Callithrix jacchus: one gene and its partners. The protein of the gene in region 3 purifies or fractionates together with the protein of the main gene of each other region. This does not show direct contact. Links are inferred from orthologs where the notes say so. Each region holds a gene or a part of one and is shown on either strand. Other genes may lie near its edges.

The links. Proteins that work in one complex are often made in the same cells at the same time.
Region 1: the proteins of E2F6 (region 3) and MGA purify together in Homo sapiens (affinity purification with mass spectrometry; 3 studies listed by BioGRID and IntAct, counting the BioPlex papers as one, with this or other methods). This does not show direct contact. The link is inferred for Callithrix jacchus from reciprocal best matches to the Homo sapiens genes E2F6 and MGA.
Region 2: the proteins of E2F6 (region 3) and CBX3 purify together in Homo sapiens (affinity purification with mass spectrometry; 4 studies listed by BioGRID and IntAct, with this or other methods). This does not show direct contact. The link is inferred for Callithrix jacchus from reciprocal best matches to the Homo sapiens genes E2F6 and CBX3.

Annotation. Positions count from the first base shown.
Region 1 is NC_133509.1:44,834,401-44,837,474, forward strand, and holds part of MGA (MAX gene-associated protein), read right to left. Parts: coding exon 1,886-3,074; 3' UTR 1-1,885. UniProt on the Homo sapiens protein: Functions as a dual-specificity transcription factor, regulating the expression of both MAX-network and T-box family target genes. Functions as a repressor or an activator.
Region 2 is NC_133512.1:31,891,691-31,895,346, forward strand, and holds part of CBX3 (chromobox protein homolog 3), read right to left. Parts: intron 2,227-3,656; coding exon 2,064-2,226; intron 1-2,063.
Region 3 is NC_133515.1:103,596,137-103,599,792, reverse strand, and holds part of E2F6 (transcription factor E2F6), read right to left. Parts: intron 3,032-3,656; coding exon 2,876-3,031; intron 1,426-2,875; coding exon 1,311-1,425; coding exon of another isoform or gene 1,307-1,310; intron 1-1,306. UniProt on the Homo sapiens protein: Inhibitor of E2F-dependent transcription. Binds DNA cooperatively with DP proteins through the E2 recognition site, 5'-TTTC[CG]CGC-3'. Has a preference for the 5'-TTTCCCGC-3' E2F recognition site.

The DNA.
Region 1 (3,074 bases), on a different chromosome or scaffold from region 3:
TGGAAACTGCTATACCTGGATTAAAGTACTAGCATCTCTAAGGACAATTATTAGCAGGGGAGACAGGTGCTGGATTCCTTGGCTAAGGCATTGAATGAAAACTGCTGGGTAAACAGTGGAAGGATAATGAGAAGCTGAGGAGCACTCTTTACCTACTTCAAGCTTCTTTCCTAAGCTGTAGAGAAAGGAAGGTTAAGTGCTGATGAGCAGATAAGAAAGGCAAGCAGCACAAAACCAACAAGAATTTGCTCCCACTGCAATTTGCAGAGGAAGTTTTTCCAATGTTTTCAATCTGTTGATAACCAGAGTTAACAGAAAGGGAACCAACCATGGAAATAATAATTCACTGGCTAGATCCAATCCAAAATTGGTCTCACAACCTAGGTCTGAAGATATGCTGAGTGGGATTTGGGATAAAGAAGACAGGAGATATAGAAGAAATAGCATCACCTAGGCACGGCCCAGGCACTGGAAGCTCTTGTGTTAGTGTTTTAACAACACAAGCAAATCCTGTCAATGAAGACAGAACAGGGGTTACATTCCAAAATATAATTATTTAAGAAAGGCAAAATGCAGCAGCTAAATCCCAGTCTATACAGTTTCAGAATAGTGATTCTTGCCCCCAGGAGTTTCCATAGACCCCCTCAAGTGCACCATGATTATTTACAAATTAGATAGGAAACATCATTTCTATACTCAATACAAATCTCATCTTCTGGGTTGAAAACTTCAGCCTTTGAGAAATCTATGAAAACAACTATACAAAAATATAAATATCTTTATCTTTACAGACTGTCAGTCCTTCATATCCTGACAGCTAATGAGTGAAAAAGCTCTACAGATCATTGAACCCATGGTTGCAGATAAAAAATATATCTTGTGATTCAAATACTGCCTTATTTCCCTGGTAAAGAGTGCCTACTGTGACTTTTCTTTACGTCCTGTGAAGGTAATAGTGAATGAAACCTTCAAGCACCAGGAGGCTGGTTTGATTTGAGAAATTTCCAGCCCCATGATTTTTTATTTTGGCCACTGTCTCTGGTCTGGGGAGATAATGCATTTTATTTTAGCTGTCTCCTGACTGATATAACCTGTGGAAGAGGTAGGGCTCCCTCTATGCCTACCTCCAAAATATATATTCCCAGTAAAAATCCCTGGTAATGTTTAATGATCTTTTCAATACCCACAAAAATAAGGGAGAGCTATTTTTTTTAAGATCTCAAAATAATTACCTTAATAATAAAAGTTAAAAGCATCCCTACTTTACCGAAGGCTTGAATTTGTTAATTCTGGTTGCAAAGGTGACAGAATGGGAGCTACTTGGGATATGAAAAAAGAAAATTTTGCTGAATGACACAAAGTCTTTCACTTTGGTATTCCATGGTACCCATCCTCTCTCTCACTATTCTTTAAACATCAACTAAAAAGTTATCTCTTCTGGATCCCTTTGCACAAGTCCATCACATTCCTTAGATTTCAGACTTAATCCAACAGCTACGAGTTATAGTTCAGTCCACAGCAACTCCAAAGTTGCAAACAGCTCTTTCTCTTGGGGGGAAGAATTAGAAACCACTGTGGGGCCAGAGTCTTGTTATAAATTCCTTGGGTAAGAGGGGCACCTCGTGTTCAGCAACGAATCACATCTTCTTAGAGAGGATGAGGGGACCCAGCACCACAAGTGAGGTAACACATTTTAACATGATCAGAATTTCAGAGTACTTCTTATACCAGGGTCAGCACCCTACCCCCTTTCTCCATCATTATCCACTGCATCATTGAAGTCAAGGATCCAAGTTCCAAGACACAAACAAACAGATACCTGCAGAGAAAGGAGGTGAAATCAATTTCCCCTCACAGCCTGGCTTCTGCTCAAGGACAAGTAAGTTCATTTCCCTGCAGAACCTGGTGAAGCCCCCAAGTTGCCCAATTTAGCCATAACAGGTGCCAATGTAGGCATCACCTTGCTTTCCCGGCCTTCCTGGTCATTCCCTGTTAAGTTCATTTTGTGTCCAACTGACCCAACTTTGGCAGCTATAGGTGCCAAACAAGGCATCACTTTGAGATTCTGACCATCTACATCACTGGAAGGATTAGCTACTTTTAAACCTAGAGGGGCCAACTTTGGCATAGGCCTCCACAAAGTATCTGTGCTGTTGCTGTTCTCCAGGCCAGTCTTCATGTGTAGGATCGGGGGTGAGGACACACTTTCAGGCTCTGCAGGGAGGCCAGAAGTATTCTTCCCTCCATCAGTATCTTTTTTGTTGGAAAGAAGTGAATCCTTTATTTCGGAGTCAATGACAATCTTAAGGACATCTGGCTCAGAGGCTGGTTCTGCAAGTTGTTTTTCATTCTCAGAAAAGTCATCATCTTCTAAGTGCAAGAGGAGGGGACTGATGGAGTCACTCTCCCCTTGAACATCAGGCAACTCTTTCAAACCAGCTCCCAAGTGCTCAACCTGGAAAGTTGCTCTGTTTCCAGGAGGAACCTTACTGATAAAAGACTGCCGAGCATCCCCTGGGAACTCTGTATCCACAGAGCTGGGTAGTTCAGCCAGGCTAACAGAGTCATCATTTAGTTGTTGATTAAGAAAGGCAATTTCATTGAGCAGTGAAGTCAGTGTTTCATCAGTATCATCCTCATCTTCCATGTTAGTTAGCAGTTCACTGGGATCAAGAGCTGCTTCCTCTATAGCTGATGTTACTTTCCTCAGTTCCATCTCTATGCTTGAGTCCTTGAGATCTTTTATCTTTAATTTATGAAATGAAGACTCCTTTGACTTCACTCTCTCTCCTCTCAATTCACTCTCTTTCCATTTATACTGAATCCCTCTCCTATCACCAGAAATCTTTTTAGGTAAGAACTCTTGTGCTTCCTGCATACTGGAAACATCAACTATTTGTGGATAACCAGAATCTTTGTTTGCCAAAAAAATCTGCGATGGACCCAACGTGACTCTGCCATCTCTGTTTCCTCTGGAAGAGATTCTGCCCTTATCCTCTAAGGAGTTATCTTCATTCCTGACAGTGTCTTTCAGATGGTCAGATGGCTTGCCATCAGGAACTTCATGAGGGTAT
Region 2 (3,656 bases), on a different chromosome or scaffold from region 3:
TCTCCTGCCTCAGCCTCCCAAGTAGCTGGGATTACAGGTATGTGCCACCATACCCGGCTAATTTTTTATTTTTAACAGAGACAGGGTTTCTCCATGTTTGTCAGGCTGGTGTCGAATTCCCAACCTCAGATGATCTGTATGTCTTGGCCTCCCAAAGTGCTGGGATTTCAGGTGTGAGCTACCACCACGCCCCGCCCCATCAGAGTTTTATATCAATGTGACAGGCTCTGGCGTCACACTGCCTGGGTGAGAATGACAGACCTACCCTGCTCATGAGCTGTGTGGCTTTGGGCAAGTTAATTAACCTCTTTGTGGTAAGGTTAATAAAATAGAATTTTAGTATCTACTGCATAGGTATTTCACAGCACATGAAATGCAAATGATTTGGAACACAGTATGGCAAATGGTAACAGTTCAAAAAGTATTGTTAAAGTTGTGCTCGATTATCTAATAATTTTTTGTAACAAGGTCTTGCTTTGTTGCCCAGGCCAAAGTGCACTGGTATGATCACAGCTCACTGCACCTTGATCTCCTAGGCTCAAGCAATACTTCTGCCACAGCCTTCCAAGTAGCTAAGACTACTAGGCATCCACCACGTCTGACTGATATATTTTTTTCTTTGTAGAGACGGGGTCTTACTATGTTATCCAAACTGTCCTCCAACTCCTGGGCTCAAGCAATGTTCCTGCCTTGGTTTCCCAAGGTGCTGGGATTACAGGTGCGAGCCACTGTGCCTGGCCAAAACTGTGCTTCTGTTGAGCACATGATTTACTTTCAGAACCAAATATATAGTCAATCTCATTTCTTCATCCATAAAATAGTGACTATACCTATGACCTTATACACAATGAGTTGTCATGAAGGTAAGACTTCTTGGCTTCTACTTCAAATGATCAAGTTTCAAATCCCAAGTCCTTACCAATTAATATGTATTGTCTGTTTAGTGCCAGAGCCTAGAATCTAATTCAGCACAAAGATATCTCCCCAAATTGCCATACTAGGTCAGTAGGCAAGACAAGTATAATCTAGTTTTACAGTCAAGGGTAGAAGTAAGAGGTTACTTGACTTTCTGAAGCCACAGAGATATAAGTGAAGCAAAGATTGGACCAAAGCATATGTATACTGAAGGAACTAAATAGCTCATTTCATGCCAAGAATATGTGTAACAGTTTTTATTATCGAAGATTATATACTTCAAAATCAGTGCATTGTTTGGCAATACTAAGATGACACACAAGTACTTTTTGATGGTCAATGCCATTAATGAACTATAATCAGAAAGTTCTCTTTACATTGTTCTTACTGTAATACAATGGCTTTCAATAATCCAATCTTAGTATTGTTTGTACTAAAGATTGCTAGCCTTGGATCACGGGTGATTGGTTGGATCAGTGATCAACTCCATGAAACTAAGAAAAACTGCCCAAGTGGTATAAGCACTTACTGCACATTTACATAATGTAGACTAAACCACACCTATTCTTATTGCCCTAAGTATTAAAATATTTAAAGTAGAATTAAGAGGCCTTTTAGAAAAGTAGTTGAGATTTTTTTTTTTGAGACAGAGTCTCACTCTGTCGCCCAGGCTGGAGTGCAGTGGCACAATCTCAGCTCCCTGCAACCTACACCTGCTGGGTTCAAGCGATTCTCCTGCCTCAGCCTCCTGAGTAGCTGGGATTACAGGCATGTGCCACCACACCTGGCTAATTTTTGTACTTTTAGTAGAGATGAAGTTTCACCATGTTGGTCAGGCTGGTGATCCACCCGCCTTGGCCTCCCAAAGTGTTGGGATTACAGGCTTGAGCCACTGTGCCCAGCCTGAGTTTTTAAAAAACCAAACCATCAGGCGGGCACAGTGGCTCACGCCTATAATCCCAGCACTTTGCGAGGCTGATGGATCACCTGAGGTCAGGAGTTTGCACTGGACGGGGAGGTTGTAGTGAGCCAAGACTGCGCCACTGCACTCCAGCCTGGGCAACAGAGTGAGACTGTCTCAAAATCAATCAATCAAGCCATCAACCTTTTACAAACGGACAGGCTGCTAGGCAATACTGTATACTTACAGCATCTCTTTTCTTCTTTGATTTGCTGTCATCAGATTCACTGTCAGATAAAGATTTTCTTTTTGTACCATCTTTTTCTTTGCCAGCTTTTTGAGAATTAAGAAATGCTTCAATCAACTCTGGACAATCTAAATTTTCTTCAGGTTCCCAAGTATTGTCAGCACTGTTAAAAAAAAAATTCAATTAAACATGATTCATCCCCATTACCCAGATCCATTTTAATAGACACCTGGGGAAATAAAAAGTCCTCTGTACTGCAGATACTAATCATTTCCTCCTTCCCTACATTTTATTTCTCCCGACCCCGGAGACAGGGTCTTGCTTTGTTGCCCAGACTTGAGTGCGGTGATGCGATCAGCTCACTGAAGATTCCCAACTCCTGGGTCAAGCAATCCCCTGCCTCAGCTCCCACTCCCCACTCGCCCAGTAGCTGGGACTACAGGCATGCACCACCATACCCAGCTAACTTAAAACACTTAAAAAAAAAAAAAAGAGAAGGGGTCTCTCGCAGCTGGTCTTAAATTCCTGGTCTCATGTAATCCTCCAGCCCTGGACTCCCAAAGTGCCAGAATTACAGGTGTTAGCCACTGCACCCAGGCCCGACAAGTCTTTTGAGAGAAATCTGCTATTTTACTTCCAAGTGAAGTAAACTTTACTGTAACAGAATAATTCAAACGGCTGAACAAATGTAAATTCCCAATTCCCACCCCAAATTAGTATGTCATATCATGTCTAGGGTTGGGACCTCCAATGCCATGTTTTAAGACATAATGATTCTGAAGCATTAGACATTTTCAATTTTTGCTGGGTGTTCAAATTGGGAAATGGTATAGAGTGGGCTGGTAAACCAAAAGCTAAATCCAGTCTTTTGTATGGTTTGCAAACTAAAAATATTTTTACGTTTTTAAATGGTTGGAAAAATATTTCAAACTAAATTATACGTAATTTGAATTTTAGTGCCCACAAATGAAGTACCATTGGAACACATCCACACTCATCCGTTTAGATGAGCAGAGATGTAGAGACAAGAGACCTGTGGCCCGAAAAGCAGAAAATAATTACTACATGACACTTTAGGGGGAAAGGTTGCTGACCCCTGATACAATGTAAGGCTGAGATGACTATTTCTATGGATTTTTTAGAACTGCTGTAAAAAAGAAAATGAGTATCAATTAATAGACGTGAAAGTAAGATCACCCTACACCAACAACCGGCTTGCCAACTTCGTGCTCTGGTTCAAAAAAACCTTTACAGAACTAGGTGTGATGAAGTTAGTAATTTTAGGGACGCTGGGGTAACTGGATCATGAGGTTAGGGGATTGAGACCAGCATGCTCAACATGGTGAAACCTTGTCTCAACTAAAAAAAAAAACCACAAAAATTAGCTGGGCTGGGGATGGGCGCCTGTAATCACAGCTACTCAGGAGACTGAAGCAGTAGAATTGCTTCAACCTGGGAGGCAGAAGTTGCAGTGTGCTGAGATGGCACCACTGCACTCCAGCCTGGGCTACAGTGAGACTCCTGTCTCATTAAAAAAACAAACGAAAAATGAAAGCAGTCTTCTACATTACCTATTACATTGCACATGGCATG
Region 3 (3,656 bases):
TGAGTGCTTCTACTGGGAATTATGCTAAATTCTTAAGGAACAGCTCCGGTTATAAATGACTGCTTTAACTGGGAGCTAGTCTAACTGTAACAAAGTCTGTTTTCTCCTGTTTAGTGCAGTTAGGCCTGGGCTGGACACACAGACACCACTGCTCCCTCCTGCTCTTCACTGCACTGTGATCTCATACCAGGGTGAGTATGGGGAGATGCAGCCTCTCAGACGGTCTCAGACCCTCACTTGTCCTTGCTATGACTTTCTAGTACCCAGCAAGTGGGCTAGGGAATATCTGTGCTCAGCTTCTAGAGTGCCAGGTCACATCTGGTTTGAATGGTAAATCCCATACAATTTAACAGATATTTCTAAACAGTAAAAGGAACTAATGTTACTCTCAACTGGAAGCCAGCTGAGGACTTCACATTCCACTAAACTAGTTGTCAAACTTCTGTAAAGGGTGAGCCAGTAAATATTTTTGGCTTTGCAAGTCATACTATCCCTGTCACAATCCCTTAACTCTGCCACTATAGTATAAAAGCAGCCAGAGACACAGTATGTAAACAAATGGGCATGTAGCTGTGTCCTGATAAAAGTATTTCTAAGAACAAGAAGGTCAGTTTGCCAACCCCCACATCTTCATGGTCAGGCTCTGGTCAATTGGGCCCATGTGCACAGACTTGAAATGAGACTCTAAGAGAAGCCTCAGGCATGATCAAAGGCTCAGCCAGATTCAGCAATTACAGTCTGAAGCAGCTCATGGCATAGGGAAAAAGCCCAAAGTCCCCAGTGCCCTGGCTGAGACCACACCTTACTTTTGGAACTTTAAGAGAGGAAAATTCTTGGTGGTTCTTCTAAGAAGCAACTATGAAGCCACCTTAACCAGGTCTGAATTCTGGTGATCCTGACAAAGATAACTCATCTTGTGAGCTTTCGGTTCCTCATCTTTAAGATGAGAATAATGACTACTTGATTTGTTGTTAGTTGAAACAAGTTAAAGGGTATGAAGTGCCTTGAGCAGTGTCAGTATGAGACACACAGTGCACATGCACACAACGGCTCTGAAGCAAACTCTGCCTCCCAGGTTCAAGCAACTCTCCTGCCTCAGTCTCCCAAGTTGCTGGGATTACAGGCGCCTATCATCACGCCCGGCTAATTTTTTGTATTTTTAGTAGACACAGCGTTTCAGTGTGTTAGCCAGGATGGTCTCAATCTCCAGAACTCATGATCCGCCTGCTTTGGCCTCCCAAAGTGCTGAGATTACAGGCATGAGCCATGGCGCCTGGCCTTGGATATTTTAAAAATGCAGGGTTACCTACTTCTCTGGGAGCCGGAACATCCAATCTGGTTTCTGCTGGAGCTTTGACTGCAATGACGATCTGTTCGTGGAAGGCCTGAATGCTATGAATGTCTTGATATGTCACATATGCTAGTGTAAAACTCAGTCAAGGATCTCTATGCAGAATGCTATTTATTGGGGAGATAATTTATCTCTAGTAACTCAGTAACACAAGGGTAATGTTAGAATGTCTTTAGTTTTTATGAGATACAAGTTCACAATGAAGGAAAGCAGTAAAAAAAAAATTCATTGATCATTTTTATTATTCACAAAGATTTTGTAGTGTTTTACAATATTTCCTCAACCTAAAGAGTTTAAGCTATACTATTATAATGATAATTTCTAGAGAAAAATATTAATAAAGTCCAAATCCCTAACACAAATATAGCTCATGAAGAAATTCAAATTTTCATTTGATTCCCTTTTCAGCTACAGTAAGCTAGATCTTACTATAACTTTAAGAAAAAACATTCAGGACTCATCCCCTAAAATCCATAAAAAGGTGTAAACAACTTAGAGACTGTTTCTCAAGACTGTTATGTTCATTACTTCATCCGAAATGATTTTCCTTCTCACTATCTGAGTCTCTTTCGTCCTGTTTCACTGTACTGTCTCAAATTTTACCTCAAATTTACTGGGTTTCCCTAGCACTGTTTTTTTTCCCAATTGGCTGCAGTAATGTTGGTGCTTATTTTTCTTTTCCTTCCAATAACTGTACTGTAGGAATAGAGGTTTCTGACTGCTAGAGAGTTTTAAGTAAATCTGAGGTATGGAATATCTTAGAATCAGTGACCCCCTCACAAAGGGTACCACGGGAACAGCACAGTGTACAGGTCTAAGACACCTAGGAGGTCAGTACCAAAGACAAGGCTCCCCCAGGCCCATTCCCCAGTTCCCAGAGACACTGAGTTTCAAAGGAAAACTGCTATTAAGCAAAACATGCTTCTGTGGACACAAATGGCAGTTGAAGCACCACTTACTTCAATGGCAATTCACTCTGTTTCAGAATCAACTTCCGTTTACAAATTTCTAGGAAAAACATGAATTTCACAAAAGCCAACAAAAATTTATTATCTTTACAGTATTCAGACTATAAAAATGAATGCTCCACTGTTTTAAGTGGCAGCATTGACCTTGGTTTGATACTATACCCGAGGTCATCTTCCAGAATTTAATCTAAGAAACGCCACACCGAAGTTAAAACAACCTACTGCGTACGCTGTGTATGTTTGAGGCTACACTACCAACTTGTACTTACTTAAACTTGTTTTTTGTTGAGATGGAGCTTCGTTCTTGCAATGGCACAATGTTGGCTCACCACAATCTCCACCCCCCCAGGTTCAAGCAATTCTCCCGCCTCAGCTTCACGAGTAGCTGGGATTACAGGCATGCGCCACCACGCCCGGCTAATTTTGTATTACTTTAGCTTGCAATGGTCTAATTTTATATTTTAAATATATAAATTAAGTCCCCAAGCTGACTCTACTATCTAAGTAATCTGCTCTGGAAGGAGAAATTTTAAAAACGTACAGACTTAAAGGATATCTTCCATTTTCTTTGTCATCTGTTAACGCAAACAGCTGCTGAGCACAATCCTTAATTAACTCATCCAAAGCATCTTCCATTGCTGATAAGTCAGAAAGTTCCTCCTGCAGCTTCTTTTGTTGAGGAACTGCTCCAAAATTGCTAAGATCAGATCCTCTTTAAAAGAAAAAAAAATCACCATCAATACCAACTAGGAGATAACAAAGGAATTTGACGTTAGGTTATGGAACCTCAAATGTTTACCATGGGTGTTTTCCACAACAGAAAGTAGGGACTTTCAACTTCTGCCGTCTTTGTTCTAGACAGCCATTATTCCTCCTGTATATAAATTATTCATAGTTCCTCTTACAGTCTTTTGCAAAAAATAAAAAATACATTACACTCTAACAGAAATTAATAATAGCAGAGACAGCCTAAGGAAGCAGAAAGAGCACTGAACTAAGAGTCAGTAATATCCAGCTTAAGCCTCAGTCCTATACTTACAACACAGCTTCTGGTAAGTTAGTGGCAATCTTATAGTACTTGAATTCCTACATATGAAAAAAAAAAGTGTTGGCTAAATGATGGTTCCTCTGCTAAAATGTGATGAGTCTGTATTTTTCCCTAGTGTATGCATTCCATCTGAATACAACAGTTATATTCATTATCATAAAAAAGACGTATTTTCTGGCCAGGCTTGGTGGCTCACACCTGTAATCCTAGCACTTTGGGAGGCTGAGGAGGGCAGATCACCTGAGGTCAGGAGTTTGAGACCAGCCTGGCCAACATGGTGAAACCCCGT